Linked DNA regions of Saccharomyces cerevisiae S288C. Changing the gene in region 4 together with the main gene of any one other region gives a genetic interaction. Each region holds a gene or a part of one and is shown on either strand. Other genes may lie near its edges.

Region 1 (4,846 bases), on a different chromosome or scaffold from region 4:
TACCATCTTCCCAATTGAGCCTTTTGTTGCTACCCAAATATTCATGGAGAGGATATACTGAAAATATTTCTGCTAACTTCTCGACTGGCATATAATAAATGCACATGGTAAAGACAGACCATATTAGTGCGTCCCAGTATTTGCCGTCTACACTGTGATTCTTGTCTGCCCTTCTATCCCAGTACTGTTCCACCCTCAAATATAATTCACTGATATCTCCAATGGAACCAAAATACAAAGCACCTAAGTTTTCCATAGCAAAGTTCATCAATTGGAATGATTGGTCTTTTTGAAGATAATTCATCCAAAACATACATTCTTCAGTATCAGTATCCAAATTAGCTGGTGTTCTAGTAAGATCTCTTTGTTTTGTTTTGTACAGCCCAATATTCGTTATCCAATATTCATAATTTTGCCAGAATAACAATAGGTCAGGGAGATATTCCTTGGAAGATGAAGCCGTTATTAGTTTTGTTGATTTCATACATTCGGAGTCCTGTCCTCTCTTCCTGCAGTTTCCACACGGTATCATACGATCACATTTGACTTTTCGCCTCGTACACACGGAACAGGGATGCTTGGATTTCAGTTGAGTGGTACGGTTAAACATTATTATTAGGATGCAAACTCGTGTTCGTAACTTTTGTCATCACCTGCTCTCTGAAGGTTGGTTATAATATTTCATTCTCTTACGCTTAGCTTACATGGCTGCGCGCACTTCATTTAAAGCCGTAAAAAATAAAGATTTCATAGAATATGAAGCTTTGAATCTCATGTAAACATTTATATAACTATGTAACGAATTATTTATCCAATGAAAGATCCACATGGACTGATTTTATTTGTAAATAGTTATCAACGCCGGTGTCGCCTGATTCTCTACCAATACCACTCATCTTAAATCCGCCAAAAGGAACTTTAGCTTCTTCTTGATTGGTTTGATTGATCCAAACAGTTCCTGCTTTAATATCGCGAGCAAACATGTGCGCTTTCTTGACATCTTTGGTGAAGACCGCAGAGGCGAGCCCGTAGCAAGTATCATTAGCCAGCTTCAGAGCGTCATCATAATTTGTGAACTTGCTAACAACCACAACCGGGCCAAATATTTCATCACGCAGCAACTTAGATGTTTCTGGTACATCAGTGAAGATGGTTGGGGGAATGAAGTAGCCTTTAGCTCCACCAATAGGAAATTCAGAGGTCTGGAACATGTCCAACTTTTCCTCCTTTTTACCACGTTCTATGTAACTTTTGATGCGGTCATACTGTGTACTTGATATAACTGGACCAACGATGCATTTCTCATCAAACGGATCAAATTTTCCTGCAACATCCCACTCCTTCTTTGCAGTTTCTTTAAACTTTTCAACAAACTTGTCGTAGATCGAACTTTGAACATAAACTCTTGAGTTTGCAGTGCAGATCTGTCCCGAATTAAAAAAAATACCATTTGCTACCCATTCTATAGCCTTATCAAGGTCTGCATCTTCAAATACAAGAGCAGGAGACTTACCACCGCATTCTAGTGTGATATCCTTAAGGTTCGATTGGCCGGAAGCTTCCAATACTGAGCCGCCAACCTTAGTACTTCCCGTAAAAGATATTTTGTCGATATCCATGTGGGTTCCTAAAGCTTTCCCCACAACGGAACCATAACCAGGAATGACATTGACAACACCAGGTGGAAAACCTGCTTTTTTAATTAAAGTAGCAAAATAAAGTAGAGATAGAGAGGTATTTTCAGCAGGTTTGATGATAACCGTGTTACCGGCCGCTAAGGCACCTTGCATTTTTCTACAAGCCATAGCTAGAGGATAATTCCATGGAACGATTTGAGCAACAACGCCAAAAGGAACTTTTAGAGTATATGCAAACTTGTTAAAAGTCAATGGAATGGTTTCACCCATATTGAACTTGTCGACCGCCCCCGCATAGTATCTTGTAAGTTCTATAATCTGGGCTAAGTCTTGTTTAGCATTGGAATGGAAAGGCTTACCAGCGTCTAAAGTCTCTAATGCGGCAAGTGTGTCTTGCTCCTCCTCAATAAGTTTTAATAAGTTTGAAAGATAAATACCACGTTGCTCAGAAGATGTCTTCGACCAAACGTTATCAAAAGCAGCCCTGGCAGCTTTCACAGCTTTGTCTACATCCTTTTCGTTAGCTGCTTGGAAGGATGTTATCGGTTCGCCAGTAGCTGGGTTCACAGTTTCGATGGTCTTTCCATCTGATGATGGACAAAACTCATTGTTGATAAACAACCCTAGCGGTTGCTTTAAAGAGATTTTCAATTGTGGGATTTCGATATCAGTATACAAGGTAGGCATTTTTCTTTTGGCTAATTTTCTAAATGTGTATAATCTATATCTCTATGATACAAGTCCAAGGTATAATTACCTGGCATGAGTCAAATTTATTCCCATCCAGATTTGCCATTTTATACAATTAGTTTCTGAGGTATGATCAGTTAAATCTACGCTATTCGTTTGAACAATCTCCCTGTCTCCTCCCTAAACTTACTAATTCCTTAACCCTTAGGGAGTTTAGCAATCAGCTTAAGAAGGGGGCTGATCAACAATCCGGTTCAAGTCTTGGATTAGCAGTAATGAAAATCCCTAAATGCACTAAAGGGCGTGGAAGAAAGGTACTGTAGAGTTCTAATAGTGATACTTTCCTTGTACTCCAGGGGGGGAAGGAAGAACAGACGTCATATGCAGAAAAAGAAAAAAAAAAGACGGAAGATCTACGTAATGGTGGGAATAGAGAAAACTAACACGCAAGTATAATTTCTTGACACAAAAATAAATCTCACTGAGTTTATAGCTCTATTTTTTTACCATCTTAAGGGATTTCTAGGACCTAGTAACAACAATTGTTCCGCATGCTGAAATAATGGTGCTTACAGTTTTATATCGAGTAGTGGACTACTACTGTTTGCTAGACTGTCAACATATTCATCCGTCGTCAGGCTAAGCTATTTAGGTACTTACGCACTTACATAATGATAACTATCACATTAGTTGTCCAAAGAGAGATTTATGTGAACTGCTTTTGTTTGAAGATAGGTATCAACACCACTTTGCCCCAGTTCTCTACCAATACCACTCATTTTAAACCCGCCAAAAGGAACGGTAACATCTTCATCGTTAGATGAGTTGATCCAAACAGTTCCTGCTTTAATATCGCGAGCAAACATGTGCGCTTTCTTGACATCTTTTGTGAAGACCGCAGAGGCGAGCCCGTAGCAAGTATCATTAGCCAGCTTCAGAGCGTCATCATAATTTGTGAACTTGCTAACAACCACAACCGGGCCAAATATCTCATCCTGTAACAGTTTCGATGTTTGCGGGACATCAGTGAAGATGGTTGGGGGAATGAAGTAGCCTTTAGCTCCACCAATAGGAAATTCAGAGGTCTGGAACATGTCCAACTTTTCCTCCCTTTTACCACGTTCTATGTAACTTTTGATGCGGTCATACTGTGTACTTGATATAACTGGACCAACGATGCATTTCTCATCAAACGGATCAAATTTTCCTGCAACATCCCACTCCTTCTTTGCAGTTTCTTTAAACTTTTCAACAAACTTGTCGTAGATCGAACTTTGAACATAAACTCTTGAGTTTGCGGTACAATTCTGTCCTGAATTGTAGAAAATGCCAGCTGCTATCCAATCGATAGCCTTATCAAGGTCTGCATCTTCAAATACGAGAGCAGGAGACTTACCACCGCATTCTAGTGTAACGTCTTTAAGGTTCGATTGGCCGGAAGCTTCCAACACAAATCCACCGACCTTGGTGCTTCCCGTAAAAGATATTTTGTCGATATCCATGTGAGATGCTAGGGCTTGGCCTACAAGTGATCCATAACCAGGAACGATATTGACAACACCAGGTGGAAAACCTGCTTTTTTAATTAAAGTAGCAAAATAAAGTAGAGATAGAGAGGTATTCTCAGCAGGTTTGATGATAACCGTGTTACCGGCTGCTAAGGCACCTTGCAATTTCCAACAAGCCATAGCTAGAGGATAATTCCATGGAACGATTTGAGCAACAACGCCAAAAGGAACTTTTAGAGTATATGCAAACTTGTTAAAAGTCAATGGTATGGTTGCACCTTTGTCAAACTTATCAGCGGACCCAGCAAAATATCTGGTAAGCTGTAAAATTTGTGCCAAATCACCTTTGGCATTTGAATGGTAAGGCTTTCCAGCGTCTAAAGTCTCTAATGCGGCAAGTGTGTCTTGCTCCTCCTCAATAAGTTTTAATAAGTTTGAAAGATAAATACCACGTTGCTCAGAAGATGTCTTCGACCAAACGTTATCAAAAGCAGCCCTGGCAGCTTTCACAGCTTTGTCTACATCCTTTTCGTTAGCTGCTTGGAAGGATGTTATCGGTTCGCCAGTAGCTGGGTTCACAGTTTCGATGGTCTTTCCATCTGATGATGGACAAAACTCATTGTTGATAAACAACCCTAGCGGTTGCTTTAAAGAGATTTTCAATTGTGGGATTTCGATATCAGTATACAAGGTAGGCATTTTTCTTTTGGCTTATTTTCACGATTGTTTTTGATGGACATGCAATGTAAAAATGATAGGAATGGGCCAAAAGTATTTTTAAGGATTCGCTCCCTTTATATGAACATTCTTGAGCAAAATTCGGGATATGATCAGTGAGTGTCGACAAGATTGCATCCCTAATGTTTAAACGAGTTAAAAAAACTCATCATTGGATAGGAGTAACCAATAAAGGGTATATGATTGCTATTATTAGTATCCAAAAGCCGCCGGGAACATCATAGGGCGTTAGCAAGTAAACGCATGGCACGATAATGGCAACCTTGTTTCTTC
Region 2 (4,309 bases), on a different chromosome or scaffold from region 4:
TGTATTGTTCACAGAAAGTGTTGTCGTGTTTATCCACCCGAATACTTCCTGATTGATATTGGTCTCCGTAGTATTTATATATTTATTAGTCTGAACGCTCCAAAGGCTCATTTGGTTCTCTATATCGACGGCAGTGCTAGACTTCAGCAAATTTTGAACGCCGTCACCATCATTAGAAGTCAATGAATGGCTTATCTTGTGTTTTAACAGTGCTATCATGACAAATTGGCATATGCACACTAAAATTCCCAAAAGTCCAATTCCAAGAACACACAGTGCTCTTTCGGAGGTCATATAAGCCACTACCCATTCTATTTTTTGTTTAGTCTTTGGGTCAATGTTCTCTGGTGATTTTCCAAAGGTAACAAGATTTGTCATCCAGCCTGCTATTCTTGTGTTCCATGTTTGAAAGCACTGCTGATAGCTTGCAATGACATCATATTGGCCATTTTGTATAGGAGGATCTCTAAATGGATCTTTCAATTCGTGCGTGTTTTCACTGGAAAAGGACGTATACGAATCTTGCCTGCTCAGCATGTAATGGTCTCTCATTCCGCAAAGGCGCCTCCAGAGCTTGATTTCATTCCATGCAACGGGCGCCATCGCACCAACAGCGAAGCATATCAATACGGTAATGCACACTACGGTGGCTATTTTCAGGACATGTCCCAAGATGGAATAAAAGGCCAAAATTTCTGATTGATTGGATGAGCAAATCCCAGTACTGTTGTCAAGGGACACGGGAGGTACGTACAAAACGGAGGTATCTCCGATTATATTGCTGGCATTCACGGCCTTGATATTCTTCCGAACTTCATTGAAGGGAACCGAGATCAGGTTCTTGGTTGTATTCTTAACCTGGGCAAAGTCCGGCGTCTTTGCCGATAACTCTTCAAGCTTATCGTTGATTGAGGAAGGAATGTATAAATTGTGAAGCGCAGATATGGTTAAGTTGACGCTTTTGATTGACGACGTCATGTTACTGTCATCGTCATCACCTGTGAAAAAATTCTCTACTTTGGATGCGGCCTTGATCACTTTATTGATTATTTTGGAGATGTCATTCAAGCCCGTATCCAATTCATTAGCCACACTTGAAACTGTATCATTGACTAAGCTAATCAGTTTTTCTGTAATGTTAGTAGCAACGTCCACGGTACCATCAACGGCACTAACAATCAAACAGGCATAAGTGCCCAAATACAGGTCAATGGCAAAGTTTACCAGCCCCTCGCTCGCATATACTATAAGTGATAACGTCTCTAGCGTAGCTTTAACAGTCTCCTCCATACCCTTCTCGATAAGATAATTCCCCATGATACCTAAATAGTGCGGCGTGTTGTCTGTCATCTTGGAGTATAGTGAATCAATACTGTAACAATTGGACAAAATATACGTTTCCGAGACTTCTATCGCATGTTGTATGGATTTGGAGAAAAACAGAAGCTTCAGCATTGCTAGCAGCAAAACCAAAGTATACTTATTTAGCCATATTTGAGAGAGCCTGTCACCCAATTGCAAATAGCATTTAAAACCGCTCATATCATCAACGTTCACAAATTCGAAAGGGAATCATCCTAACCAAATATTTCGGGATTATCTTAAGGACTTATGTTGGTCACATTCGTCATATATATATACCTCTTGCCAGCAACAGGCCAGTTATAAGTTAAAATTAATATGTGACGCACTTCTGAAACAGTATTGAAACAGTATTGAAACATATGTATTACCCGGACTCTGCATGCTCTGTCGTTCATTTTATTTTCACCTAAACGAAAATCCCGTGAAAAAAATTTATATCGCCTTTCGCTCTTTTGTATGTAGGCATCATCGGAAATTTGCATTGTGTGAAGGTTGTGCATATAAAGGGTTTTGCATAACGGACGTTTTTCACGTACTCCGTCTGAGCATCAAGTGAGGCTTGAGTTTACGTTTGTTTTTAATAATCAGTTTTCATTCTACTATTTTCTTGCGCAATTGCTTATCAGATAGACCTTGTAAACAGCATAGGAGTAAAGACAAATTCGGTGTAGAGAATAAAAGGATGGTATCAGCTTTGAATCCCAGAACTACAGAGTTTGAATTTGGTGGGCTGATTGGTGCCTTAGGCATCAGCATAGGGCTGCCTGTTTTCACTATCATCTTGAATCAAATGATAAGGCCCGATTATTTTATTAAGGGATTTTTCCAGAATTTCGATATAGTTGAGCTTTGGAACGGTATCAAGCCATTGCGCTACTATCTGGGCAATCGTGAATTATGGACTGTCTATTGCCTGTGGTATGGAATACTGGCAGTTTTGGACGTCATTTTACCGGGCAGAGTCATGAAGGGTGTTCAGTTAAGGGATGGTTCGAAGCTTTCGTATAAGATCAATGGAATTGCCATGTCTACAACTTTGGTCTTAGTTTTGGCTATCAGATGGAAATTGACTGATGGACAATTGCCTGAATTGCAATATCTGTATGAAAATCACGTTAGTTTATGCATAATATCTATTTTGTTTTCGTTCTTTTTGGCGACGTACTGCTATGTTGCCAGCTTCATACCATTGATCTTCAAGAAAAATGGTAATGGCAAAAGGGAAAAGATCTTAGCACTAGGTGGAAATTCAGGAAACATCATTTACGATTGGTTTATTGGTAGAGAACTGAACCCTCGTCTCGGCCCATTAGATATCAAGATGTTTTCAGAGTTGAGACCCGGCATGTTGTTATGGTTACTGATCAATCTTTCCTGTCTGCATCACCATTACCTGAAGACTGGTAAAATCAACGATGCATTGGTCTTGGTTAATTTCTTGCAAGGATTTTACATTTTCGATGGAGTACTAAACGAGGAAGGTGTATTAACCATGATGGATATCACTACAGATGGGTTTGGTTTCATGCTAGCGTTTGGTGACTTAAGTTTAGTTCCATTCACCTACTCATTACAAGCGCGTTACTTGAGTGTTTCCCCTGTGGAATTGGGATGGGTGAAAGTTGTCGGTATATTAGCCATAATGTTTTTGGGTTTCCACATCTTCCACTCGGCAAATAAGCAAAAATCTGAGTTTAGACAAGGTAAATTAGAAAATCTAAAAAGTATTCAGACAAAGCGTGGTACAAAGTTATTATGTGACGGGTGGTGGGCTAAATCACAGCATATCAATTACTTTGGCGATTGGCTGATTTCATTAAGTTGGTGTTTGGCCACCTGGTTCCAAACTCCCTTGACATATTACTACTCGTTGTACTTCGCCACGTTGTTATTACACCGTCAACAACGTGATGAGCACAAGTGCCGCCTGAAATATGGCGAAAATTGGGAAGAATACGAAAGAAAAGTTCCTTACAAGATCATTCCATATGTTTATTAAGTTTTTCTACCACTGCTATTTTCTTCATTATCTATGTATGTGTGTATACATGTTATGTATTGGGTGAGTATGAGGAAGAAGAAGAATAACAATTGAAAACGCTGGAAAAATTAAAAGGGGCGGTGGTCTATCTATGCAACGCTCCCCTTTTCGTTACATGAACACATCAAACTTGTATATCCTTTGAGTGTTCTTTAATCAAGTCATCTTGGTATTTTAGTAGCGTTTCCACTACTTTAGGGACAAATTCAGACCTAACCAATCCATCAAAAGCATCAAACCCTTGCGACAAAATCGGAATATCAGACTCGTCATGCATAAACTCTGGAATTTCTAGTTTCCCGTCCGCAAGTATGCCGTCATCATCCTCGTCGTCCTTATTAGTATCCAAATTTGTCACTTTGACGTTCATCGACAACTGTAAGTCAAAGTAGCAAATCGGCTTGCCCTTCCTTTGAGATACGTTGGAGTCACCGGTGATGCTACTCACCTGGGTTAACTCAATTTTGCTCTTCCCATCAGAGGAAACAGTGGACAAACTCGTTAATTTACCGTTCAAGTAGTCCTTAGACCAAGGTAAGGTGTTTTTATCCACCCAATGCCAGTTATTTGGATTCAAGACAACCATATTTTATCGTAAATGTGTTGTAACTTTCCGATCGTTTCAAACTTTAGTAGTAGTTTGATGATTTTGTCCAAAAAGTATTTGCTTAAATTTCAGCTTTTTTCTTCTTCATATGTATTTCTTTTTTTCCTCGCTTTCTCTGCCCACTTTTTTCTTCTGTCTTCTAGAAAAATAGGCCTGCGCGGGTAATTTTGTCTACTTTTGCCTCTTCTTCGAGACAATTGGCACTGTAGTTTTCAACAGCTTGACAGATGTGGGCCGATACTTGATAGCATTTAACCAGGGAAACTGAAGCAGATCAACGTTCTTCTGGATCTGCG
Region 3 (5,303 bases), on a different chromosome or scaffold from region 4:
GTTTTTTGTCTTAGAATCCAATTCGTAAGGGATAGTGTCACCTTGTAAGACATCATTGATCAAATGCATTGCTAATGCAAATTCAGGAAACAGTAACTCACCTGCTTTTGATGTATCACAAAGCGTCCAAATTCTTGCGAGTTGAGAAGGTGGCAAACCGGATCTCATCAAAATTTTCCTACAATTAGCACCGGAAACAGTATTCGAACCATTGGTAACAATTGATCTGAATAGAGTCTCAAATTTTGCCTGATCTTGGGCAGTAATAAACGACAATCTAATGGCAGGGATTTTGATATCATTGTTTAGACCGTTGTTGGCAAATGAGTTGACAAAGCCAGTTGCGGTGGGCTTTAATGGTTCTAAGGGAGCTTGGTTTTGCGGTTGAAGGTAAAATCCTGTTTGCTGCGGCTTCAAAGGTTGCAAGGACTGTGCTTGCTGAGGAGGTGGCACCTGTTGAGGTTGAGATTGATAATAACCAGTGCCCTGGGCCTGAAGGGGCTGCTGGGTTTGATTAGAAGAGATCAAATTGGGTGTAGACACATAATATCCTGTCCCTTGAGATTGCAAAGGTTGTACTGAGTGTACATTTGCAGTATTAGCAGCTTGGTAATAGCCTGTTCCTTGGGGTTGTATGGATTGTAGCTGAGGCTGTTGAGCCGGATTAGGTGGAGGCATGGTGCCAGTAGTATTCATCATAGGCATACTGGAATTTGGTACGTATCCCGTATGCTGCGGTTTCGCCTGCTGTTGTTGCTGCTGGGGTTGTTGGCCAAAATTACCATTACCATATACACTACCATTATTTCCATTATTATTGTAACCCGTTTGGGGCTGCTGTGGCATACTTGAGAAAGAATTACCAAAACTTTGAGGCATCCCACCAATTCCGGTAGCCTGAGGCTGGTTAAACGCCATTTGCTGTTGTGGTTGAGGCTGGCCTTGGGGCTGGTTTGAAGACTGACCTTGCTGCTGCTGCGGGTAGAATCCATTTGGTTGTTGCTGCTGTTGCTGCTGTTGCTGCTGGTAACCCATGCCCTGTTGCTGGTACGGGTTATACATATTCAGTTGTACAGATTAGCAATTTCGCGTCGCTGATAGATTCTTCCTCTTCCTGCTTCTCGACGTGTGTTTCGCCAATAGATCTATATGGCTTTCTAATGCTTTTTTTCTTCCAATACCAACTTTTGCCCCTAACAAGAAAAAAATATCGTCGACGTGTCATGTGATCAAGCCAATTTATAATAACAAGCGATTGATAAACAGAGTATACATAGCTACTATGCGACTGAGAGATCAATCGGTTATCGTGAGCACCTACCTTTAAGGTTTAACAGATCTGGACGTGATTTTTTTTTTTTTTTTTTGACGAACCAGATTGTCAAATAAACATTGTTAATTGATGAATTTTTAATATCTGCCCAATTGAAGCATAAAAAGCGTCTTAGGAAAGCATTCGTTAAATATCTCTACTGTTGGTAAGCAGGTACTTCAGTAAAAAACCATATTAAACCCAAAATTATCAAATTAGTAGTACATAAGATCGAAGTAGAAAAAATATAGATTATAATCCGATATAGTGTAACGGCTATCACATCACGCTTTCACCGTGGAGACCGGGGTTCGACTCCCCGTATCGGAGTATGTTTATTTTATTTTTTTCATATCCGCTCGAATATTGCCTTCGTTTAAGGTTTCTATATCTCTGGTAAACCTTAACAATGGAATTAATATTAATTCTATATTTCGCAATAATTCTACTGACAGTTATTTTCTTAACCTTTCTTCTCTTTTTTTATTTATTTATTTCTTTTTCTTTCGTACCTAAATTGTTTGAATTTAATAAGAACAGATCATATGCCTGCCAAAATACACATTTCTGCAGACGGTCAGTTTTGCGATAAAGATGGCAACGAGATCCAATTGCGTGGTGTCAATTTGGATCCGTCAGTTAAAATCCCTGCAAAGCCATTCCTATCCACCCACGCTCCCATAGAAAATGACACGTTTTTCGAGGATGCTGATAAAGTCAGTTTCATCAATCACCCCTTAGTTCTTGATGATATCGAACAGCATATCATCAGATTGAAATCACTGGGTTACAATACCATTCGTTTACCCTTCACCTGGGAATCTCTTGAACATGCTGGTCCAGGACAGTACGATTTTGACTATATGGATTATATCGTCGAGGTACTAACCAGGATTAACAGCGTACAACAAGGTATGTACATTTATTTGGACCCTCACCAAGACGTCTGGTCTAGGTTTAGCGGTGGATCTGGAGCACCGCTATGGACCTTATACTGTGCAGGGTTTCAACCTGCAAACTTCCTGGCCACCGATGCTGCAATCTTACATAATTATTATATTGACCCCAAAACGGGCAGGGAAGTTGGCAAAGATGAAGAGTCCTACCCTAAGATGGTTTGGCCTACAAACTACTTCAAACTGGCGTGTCAAACAATGTTTACGTTATTCTTTGGTGGGAAACAATATGCTCCTAAGTGCACAATTAATGGAGAAAACATACAGGATTACTTGCAAGGAAGGTTTAATGATGCAATCATGACACTGTGCGCAAGAATTAAAGAAAAGGCTCCTGAGTTGTTTGAGAGCAACTGCATTATTGGATTAGAGTCTATGAACGAGCCAAACTGTGGTTACATTGGTGAAACAAATCTCGATGTGATTCCGAAAGAGAGAAATTTGAAATTGGGCAAAACGCCAACGGCATTTCAAAGCTTTATGCTGGGTGAAGGTATTGAGTGCACAATAGATCAATATAAAAGGACATTTTTTGGATTTTCTAAGGGAAAACCGTGCACAATCAATCCCAAAGGCAAAAAAGCTTGGCTGAGTGCAGAGGAAAGAGATGCGATAGATGCGAAGTATAATTGGGAAAGGAACCCTGAATGGAAACCAGACACTTGCATTTGGAAACTCCATGGTGTTTGGGAGATTCAGAATGGTAAACGCCCTGTTTTACTCAAACCAAATTACTTTAGCCAACCTGATGCAACGGTATTTATAAACAATCATTTTGTTGACTATTACACTGGAATTTATAACAAGTTTAGGGAATTCGATCAAGAATTGTTTATTATAATCCAACCGCCGGTAATGAAGCCACCACCCAATTTACAAAATTCTAAAATATTGGACAATAGGACGATTTGTGCATGTCATTTTTATGATGGTATGACACTAATGTATAAGACATGGAATAAACGAATTGGCATAGACACCTATGGACTAGTAAACAAAAAATACTCAAATCCTGCCTTTGCTGTAGTGCTTGGCGAAAACAATATACGGAAATGCATTAGGAAGCAATTATCAGAAATGCAAAAGGACGCTAAATCCATGCTTGGAAAAAAAGTACCTGTATTCTTCACCGAAATTGGTATTCCATTTGACATGGACGACAAGAAAGCATATATTACAAATGACTATTCTTCACAGACCGCTGCATTGGATGCTCTTGGATTTGCATTAGAAGGAAGTAATCTTTCGTACACCTTATGGTGTTATTGCAGTATTAATTCACATATATGGGGTGACAATTGGAACAATGAAGATTTTTCGATTTGGTCCCCGGATGACAAACCACTCTATCACGATACCCGAGCAAAAACTCCTACTCCTGAGCCATCTCCAGCCTCTACTGTGGCTTCGGTATCCACTTCTACATCTAAATCGGGTTCTTCACAACCACCAAGTTTCATAAAACCAGATAATCATTTAGATTTGGATAGTCCCTCGTGCACTTTAAAGAGCGACTTGTCAGGGTTCAGAGCTCTTGATGCTATAATGAGACCATTCCCCATACAAATTCACGGAAGATTTGAGTTTGCTGAGTTTAACTTATGTAATAAATCCTACCTTTTGAAATTAGTTGGTAAAACGACACCTGAACAGATAACTGTCCCTACATATATTTTTATACCACGGCACCATTTTACACCAAGCCGGTTGTCAATTCGTTCATCATCAGGTCATTATACCTATAACACTGACTACCAGGTTCTTGAATGGTTTCACGAGCCTGGCCATCAGTTCATTGAAATTTGCGCAAAATCGAAGTCAAGGCCCAACACCCCTGGAAGTGACACTTCGAATGACTTACCAGCGGAATGCGTTATCAGCTAAACAAAAATTGAACCAAAAGCTATAGTAGTCATATATATATATATACACCCTTTTTATTGTTACAAAAAGATTTCACCATCAGAAATCTAAAGAAGCCGGTTCATCATCATCTTCACGTTCTCTTTTCACTGAACCCAGTTCATTTTTCAAAAGAGAACTCACATATGCTTGGAACTGATTGATAAAAGGTTGTAAAGCTGTTAATGAAACATCATTATTTTTCTCCATTTCTGTTTGAAGATCAATTAGCTTAGGTGCTTTTTCAGGTGCAAAGGATTCATCAATAGGCACACAGACATTCCCCGTAGCAGGATGAATACAAAAAGGGGCCTTTAACAAATGAATTGTTTGCTTTGTAACTTCCACATCCAGCTTCGGATAAAGAGTCATCAATACGAGATCTTCCTTACATTCACGTAACTTAATTATGTGAGAGTCTTGCTTGGGGCCTTTGAAGAGCGATGTAGCTATCTGATCTATATCATTCCACTTCTCTTTGCTTGACCTCCTTGGATTGTCCAGCCAATACTTCTTTAATGAATCAATCAATTGTTTATCATATAATGCAGGCAATAAAGTTTGGATAGCATGTTGGTCATCTTCCCAAGGATTTTGCTCTTCGAGCATAATGCTGACAAAGAAAGGTTTCAATTGCTCCAAAGAACGAGCAAGATGAGGGTGATAAGGCCTCTTCAAAGCCAATCGCTTGTCAGTATTTCTGTCTCTAATCACGTTGACATAATCTAAAACGTTTCTTCGTTGTACATCCGTCAAAGCCCGTGCCCGTTTGTCGCTTACCCAACAATGAGCACCACGTCTACCTGAAAATACCCAGATGAAGTCCTTATAACCAAAATCCTCTCTTAGGGCCGTGTTCGTAATTTTCATTGCCAAAGATATAAATTTCCAGCACTTAGAGCAAACTTGGGCTCCGGAGCAACACGTTCTGAAGGCATCGTAATCATCCATATCAATATCAAACACCAACTCCTTCTCTAAAGCTTTCAATTCGCTTTTTAATAGAGTATCACGTTCTCTTGGCGGTTTGTTATATATGGCACCGATTTCAAATCTGTCTGGGTTGGCTTTTTCTATTTGTGCTTTGAAATCTTGCACAGAGTTAAAAGAATTATACCTTTTGTAAGCACCTG
Region 4 (5,030 bases):
GTTTTCAAAGGTTTTTTACCAACCACCAAAAACGGGCAGCGGGAAGAAAAAAAACGTAGACCATCTGATTCACTCCAACCTAATCTGGCTCATCCGATGGACAAGGTTGTTATTTTTAAGAGAATTACCCTTAAAATATGTGCTAATCGTTTGGGACCACGTCCTGACGTTCAATTATCCCTTGGATATTTTCATTGCATGCACTATCATCACCCTTTTGTTATCCATTTACGATGAGCTTCACGAACTAGTGAGCCAAGGTGACTATGAACATACGAATAATAACGATGAATTTGTTGAATTGATTTTGCATTTCAAGAAAATTTTTGAAAAGGAAGATGCCAGTAAAGATGATGAAAAGTTTTTAGACCTGTGTAAGGTCACTGGAAATTTATGTGAATTGTGGTATGGAAAAAATTACGACGATATGAGATTGATTTGCGACACTTTTATAAATGCGAAGTTCGGCATAAAGACTAGTGATGTTTTAAGTATGGAAACAGCAAAGTTGACTATTGATCCTAATAGACAATCACTCGAAAACAAACTGAGGGAGAGGGTAAGGCAAACAATTTTGAAGAACAAAAAGAAAATAAGCCAATAAGTTTTTCTTGTCAATTACTCGTTGTTATTTGTTTGAAATCCCAGCCTGCACACCCGCACGACAAAATCAAAAAAAAAAAAAAAAAAACCCAGCTACCACCAACAAACAGATAGCCCACATGTCATATTTCCTAATGAGCTGGTTTCCCTCTGATATTTTTGCATATTGCAGCTCGACGTATATTGTACTTCAATGTCTTGCATAAAATTATATAGCATAATAGATAAGGTGTAAGTTGACAGTAAACGAGTACTATTGACCAAGAATCAATGAGAGAGATAGAGAGAAAAATAAGAAAAAAGGGAAAGATCATTTTTGCCAGATCAATAAATAAGTTTGCCCTCCAAAATAAATAAATAAATAAATAAGAATTAATAGGATCTGACAGCTGGAGGGACTGGGGCGCATTCATTCTCATCTAAAGTATGTGCGATTACATTCCTGTACTTGATTTTTACAGGTGTTGATGTCCCCTTTTGCCATGATAATGTGTGCTTTCTCCAATTCACATCATCTCTTTTTGCATAGTCCTCTCTCGCATGAGCACCACGAGACTCCTTTCTTTTGGAAGCAGAAACAGCCGTTTGTGTGGCACAAGTAAGTAAATTTTGCAATTCCAGAGTTTCTACGAGATCAGAATTCCAGATCATTGACTTATCAGAAACGTGCACATCCTCAAATGTCTTGTCCACTTCAGTAATATTTCTAACACCTTCATCTAGAGTGTCTTGCGTCCTGAAAACAGAAACATCTTTTTGCATTGTCCTTTGCATGTTCAACCTGATTTGAGAGGTTTTCAGTGAGCCGCGAGCATTTCTTACTTTATCCAAATTAGCAATTGACTCGTGCCCGATGTTTGAAGCCAATGGCTTATGAGGCAAGCCAGGCTGTAATGTGTCAGCAATGGTATTTGCAACGGCGCGACCGAAAACGACTAAATCCAGTAGTGAGTTAGCGCCTAATCTGTTCGCTCCATGAACCGATACGCAAGCAGCTTCACCACACGCCATCAATCCTGGGATGACCTTATCCTCTCCAGTTTCCTCGTCAATGGTCAATGCTTCACCAGTCCATTTTGTGGGAATGCCTCCCATATTATAATGGACAGTTGGCAAGACAGGAATTGGCTCCTGGGTGACATCGACACCCGCAAAGACAGCAGCTGTTTCAGATATTCCCGGTAGCCTTTCCTTTAGTACCTCAGGTGGTAGATGGCTTAATTGTAAAAGGATATGATCCTTGTTTTTCCCGACACCTCTGCCAGCCCTGATTTCCATGGTGATTGCTCTGGAAACAACATCCCTGCTTGCCAAGTCCTTGGCAGTAGGAGCATAGCGTTCCATAAACCTTTCTCCTTCAGAATTCAATAAAAATCCACCCTCACCACGGGCACCTTCAGTGATTAGGCAGCCAGACCCATAAATTCCTGACGGATGAAATTGAACAAATTCTAAATCCTCTAGTGGAAATCCAGCGCGAGAAACCATAGCATTACCGTCACCTGTACAAGTGTGAGCAGAAGTGCAAGAGAAGTAAGCTCTACCGTATCCGCCTGTCGCGATGACGGTCTTATGTGCTCTGAATCTGTGAATTGTACCGTCCTCCTGATTATAGGCAATGACACCCACAACCTCGCCATTATGGGTCAACAAATCCATTGCAAAGTATTCAATAAAGAAGTGTGTATTATTTTTCAGCGCTTGTCCATACAATGTATGAAGCATTGCGTGACCTGTTCTATCTGCCACCGCACAAGTCCTATAGGCCTGTCCACCTTTACCAAAATCTTTGGATTGTCCCCCAAATGCTCTCTGGTAAATCCTTCCATCTTCAGTCCTCGAAAAGGGCATACCGTAATGTTCTAGTTCAATGACAGACTTAGGTGCTTCTCTTGTCATGTAATGGATTGCATCTTGGTCTCCGAGCCAGTCAGAACCCTTGACAGTGTCGTACATGTGCGATTTCCAATCATCTGGATGCATATTTCCCAGCGCAGCATTAATTCCACCCTGAGCAGCCACAGTATGTGACCTTGTTGGAAACAACTTGGATAAACAAGCAGTCTTGTATCCAGCTTCAGCCAAACCGAAAGCTGCTCTTAAACCTGCACCGCCAGCGCCTACCACCACACAATCATATTCATGGTCGATAATATGATATTTGGCCGGCGGTTTCGATTCAGATTTCACTTCCCCAATTTGACGAACAACAGAGGAAGAAGTGAAAGTTCTTTGCAAGATGTATGATTTTGTTATTCCTTTTTTCAAAGATAACATAATTTATTAGCTCACGTGTATACATGTATATAGATATACGTATTTAGGCTCCTTCTTTTCTTATTTTAGCAGATAATTATTTAGAAAGTATATATAAGAACTTAGCTCTGACTAGAGTGAAAGAAATTTGCCGAAGTGTCGGTTGGATTGCCTTTTTTGCCACCTTGTGGAACCTTACTGTTCCGTTAAAGGGAAGACCCTTATATTCTAAAGGGAGCCACATAAGTCCGGAGAAGAGGAGCGCGACCTGAGAAAAGCGACTTGAGCGGCTAACGGGTTAATAAAGCTTACGGAAAATTAATGCATTGCAGCTTCCTATGAGTTTTGTCATTCTTATAGAAGCCGAAAATTCAAATAGATGATTTCTTGCGTGGAACCATAGGTATTCACACTATCTCTTCACAAAACTTGTTATATTGCAAGTATCTGTTGCCTCACATACGTACTGTATCAATCTGGATCTTAAAGTAGTAACTACAACAGCTTCAAAAAAAATCTCCGCGACGGGGAATTGAACCCCGATCTGGCACGCGACAAGCGCCCATTCTGACCATTAAACTATCACGGAAGAAACAAAGCACTCACGATGGGGGTCGAACCCATAATCTTCTGATTAGAAGTCAGACGCGTTGCCATTACGCCACGCGAGCTACTGTTTGTTGGAAGATTGGGATTAAAGGTAAACTATGCTTTGATTTCACCAATCTCGCAAACCAACGTTGAAAATCTAAACTCTCCTACTACATTTGCGTTTGGTAGCAGAATGTTGAGGAATAATAACCAATTACCATTTAGTTGACTAGTATTTATATGTCAACACTGTTGGAATAAAAATCAACTATCGTCTATGTTGGAATAAAAATCAACTATCATCTACTAACTAGTATTTACGTTGCTAGTATATTATCATATACGGTGTTAGAAGATGACGCAAATGATGAGAAATAGTCATCTAAATTAGTGGAAGCTGAAACGCAAGGATTGATAATGTAATAGGATCAATGAATATTAACATATAAAATGATGATAATAATATTTATAGAATTGTATAGAATTGCAGATTCCCTTTTATGGATTCCTAAATCCTCGAGGAGAACTTCTAGTATATCTACATACCTAATATTATTGCCTTATTAAAAATGGAATCCCAACAATTACATCAAAATCCACATTCTCTTCAGTCTATCAACTAGTAGTCATACTACCAATATATTATCATATATGGTGCTAAGATGATGGCATAAGTTATGAGAAGCTGTCATCGAAGTTAGAGGAAGCTGAAGTGCAAGGATTGATAATGTAATAGGATAATGAAACATATAAAACGGAATAAGGAATAAAACGGAATATTAGTATATAGAAATATAGGTTCCATTATGAGGATTCCTAGATCCTCGAGGAGAACTTCTAGTATATTCTGTATACCTAATATTATAGCCTTTATCAACAATGGAATCCCAACAATTATCTCAAAATTCACCAATTTTCATCTTTATCAAAAATGGAATTCCAACAATTATTAAGTTATAACCAAAATTAAAAATTCACATATTTCTCACAAACAAAATCTTTACAATCACTTATTGATCAGATATAATCCTGCAAAATGGAAAGAAATTATTAATTATGAAGAAGGGTACGGCGGCCAAGAGAAATTTCATCCACATTCTATTTAGAGCACATTAAAAAAATCTCCCGGGGGCGAGTCGAACGCCCGATCTCAAGATTTCGTAGTGGTAAATTACAGTCTTGCGCCTTAAACCAACTTGGCTACCGAGAGTGATAAATGATTAATAACCAAAAAATTTTGTTTCATCATACAAATTCAAAGAAAGTATTGTTTCATAAGAATGTTGCTGAAAGGACTTTGAGTGAATTGTGAACAGTTTGATAATTATTGGTCCAAATGGCGACATTGAAGACACAGTGTAAATTATTCAATGATGATTTGGCCTGGTTTTTACAAATGATTTTATCGACGTCAAGAGGATACAGTTCAAGAACGGTTAAGCGACATTGACAAAAAATGCTCAAAAACCACTGGTGCAACTTTACTGGTGGCAGTTTTTTGAAGTGAAAAGGAACTTTATTCTGGAGCGGAAGAAATTCAATAAATGTCACCACAATACCGATGCTATTCTTAGATGATC

Evidence for each region.
Region 1: mutations in SDH9 (region 4) and ALD3 together harm fitness more than expected from each alone (negative genetic interaction), as found in Saccharomyces cerevisiae (one large-scale study listed by BioGRID).
Region 2: mutations in SDH9 (region 4) and ERG24 together harm fitness less than expected from each alone (positive genetic interaction), as found in Saccharomyces cerevisiae (one large-scale study listed by BioGRID).
Region 3: mutations in SDH9 (region 4) and EGH1 together harm fitness more than expected from each alone (negative genetic interaction), as found in Saccharomyces cerevisiae (one large-scale study listed by BioGRID).

The regions. Positions count from the first base shown.
Region 1 is NC_001145.3:598,549-603,394, forward strand, and holds ALD3 (aldehyde dehydrogenase (NAD(+)) ALD3), read right to left. Parts: upstream 2,325-4,846; coding exon 804-2,324; downstream 1-803. Other genes in the region: CEP3 (Cep3p), read right to left, coding at 1-610; aldehyde dehydrogenase (NAD(+)) ALD2, read right to left, coding at 3,014-4,534. UniProt on the Saccharomyces cerevisiae protein: Cytoplasmic aldehyde dehydrogenase involved in ethanol oxidation. Involved in pantothenic acid production through the conversion of 3-aminopropanal to beta-alanine, an intermediate in pantothenic acid (vitamin B5) and coenzyme A (CoA) biosynthesis.
Region 2 is NC_001146.8:108,150-112,458, reverse strand, and holds ERG24 (delta(14)-sterol reductase), read left to right. Parts: upstream 1-2,047; coding exon 2,048-3,364; downstream 3,365-4,309. Other genes in the region: pheromone-regulated protein PRM1, read right to left, coding at 1-1,542; HCH1 (Hch1p), read right to left, coding at 3,531-3,992; POP3 (Pop3p), read right to left, coding at 4,185-4,309. UniProt on the Saccharomyces cerevisiae protein: Delta(14)-sterol reductase; part of the third module of ergosterol biosynthesis pathway that includes the late steps of the pathway. ERG24 reduces the C14=C15 double bond of 4,4-dimethyl-cholesta-8,14,24-trienol to produce 4,4-dimethyl-cholesta-8,24-dienol.
Region 3 is NC_001141.2:368,847-374,149, forward strand, and holds EGH1 (hydrolase), read left to right. Parts: upstream 1-1,857; coding exon 1,858-4,152; downstream 4,153-5,303. Other genes in the region: actin cytoskeleton-regulatory complex protein PAN1, read right to left, coding at 1-1,062; DNA primase subunit PRI1, read right to left, coding at 4,231-5,303. UniProt on the Saccharomyces cerevisiae protein: Ergosteryl beta-glucosidase involved in the ergosteryl beta-glucoside (EG) catabolic pathway and vacuole formation via hydrolysis of EG to generate glucose.
Region 4 is NC_001142.9:353,874-358,903, reverse strand, and holds SDH9 (succinate dehydrogenase SDH9), read right to left. Parts: upstream 2,881-5,030; coding exon 976-2,880; downstream 1-975. Other genes in the region: GTPase-activating protein GYP6, read left to right, coding at 1-604. UniProt on the Saccharomyces cerevisiae protein: Probable minor catalytic subunit of succinate dehydrogenase (SDH) that is involved in complex II of the mitochondrial electron transport chain and is responsible for transferring electrons from succinate to ubiquinone (coenzyme Q).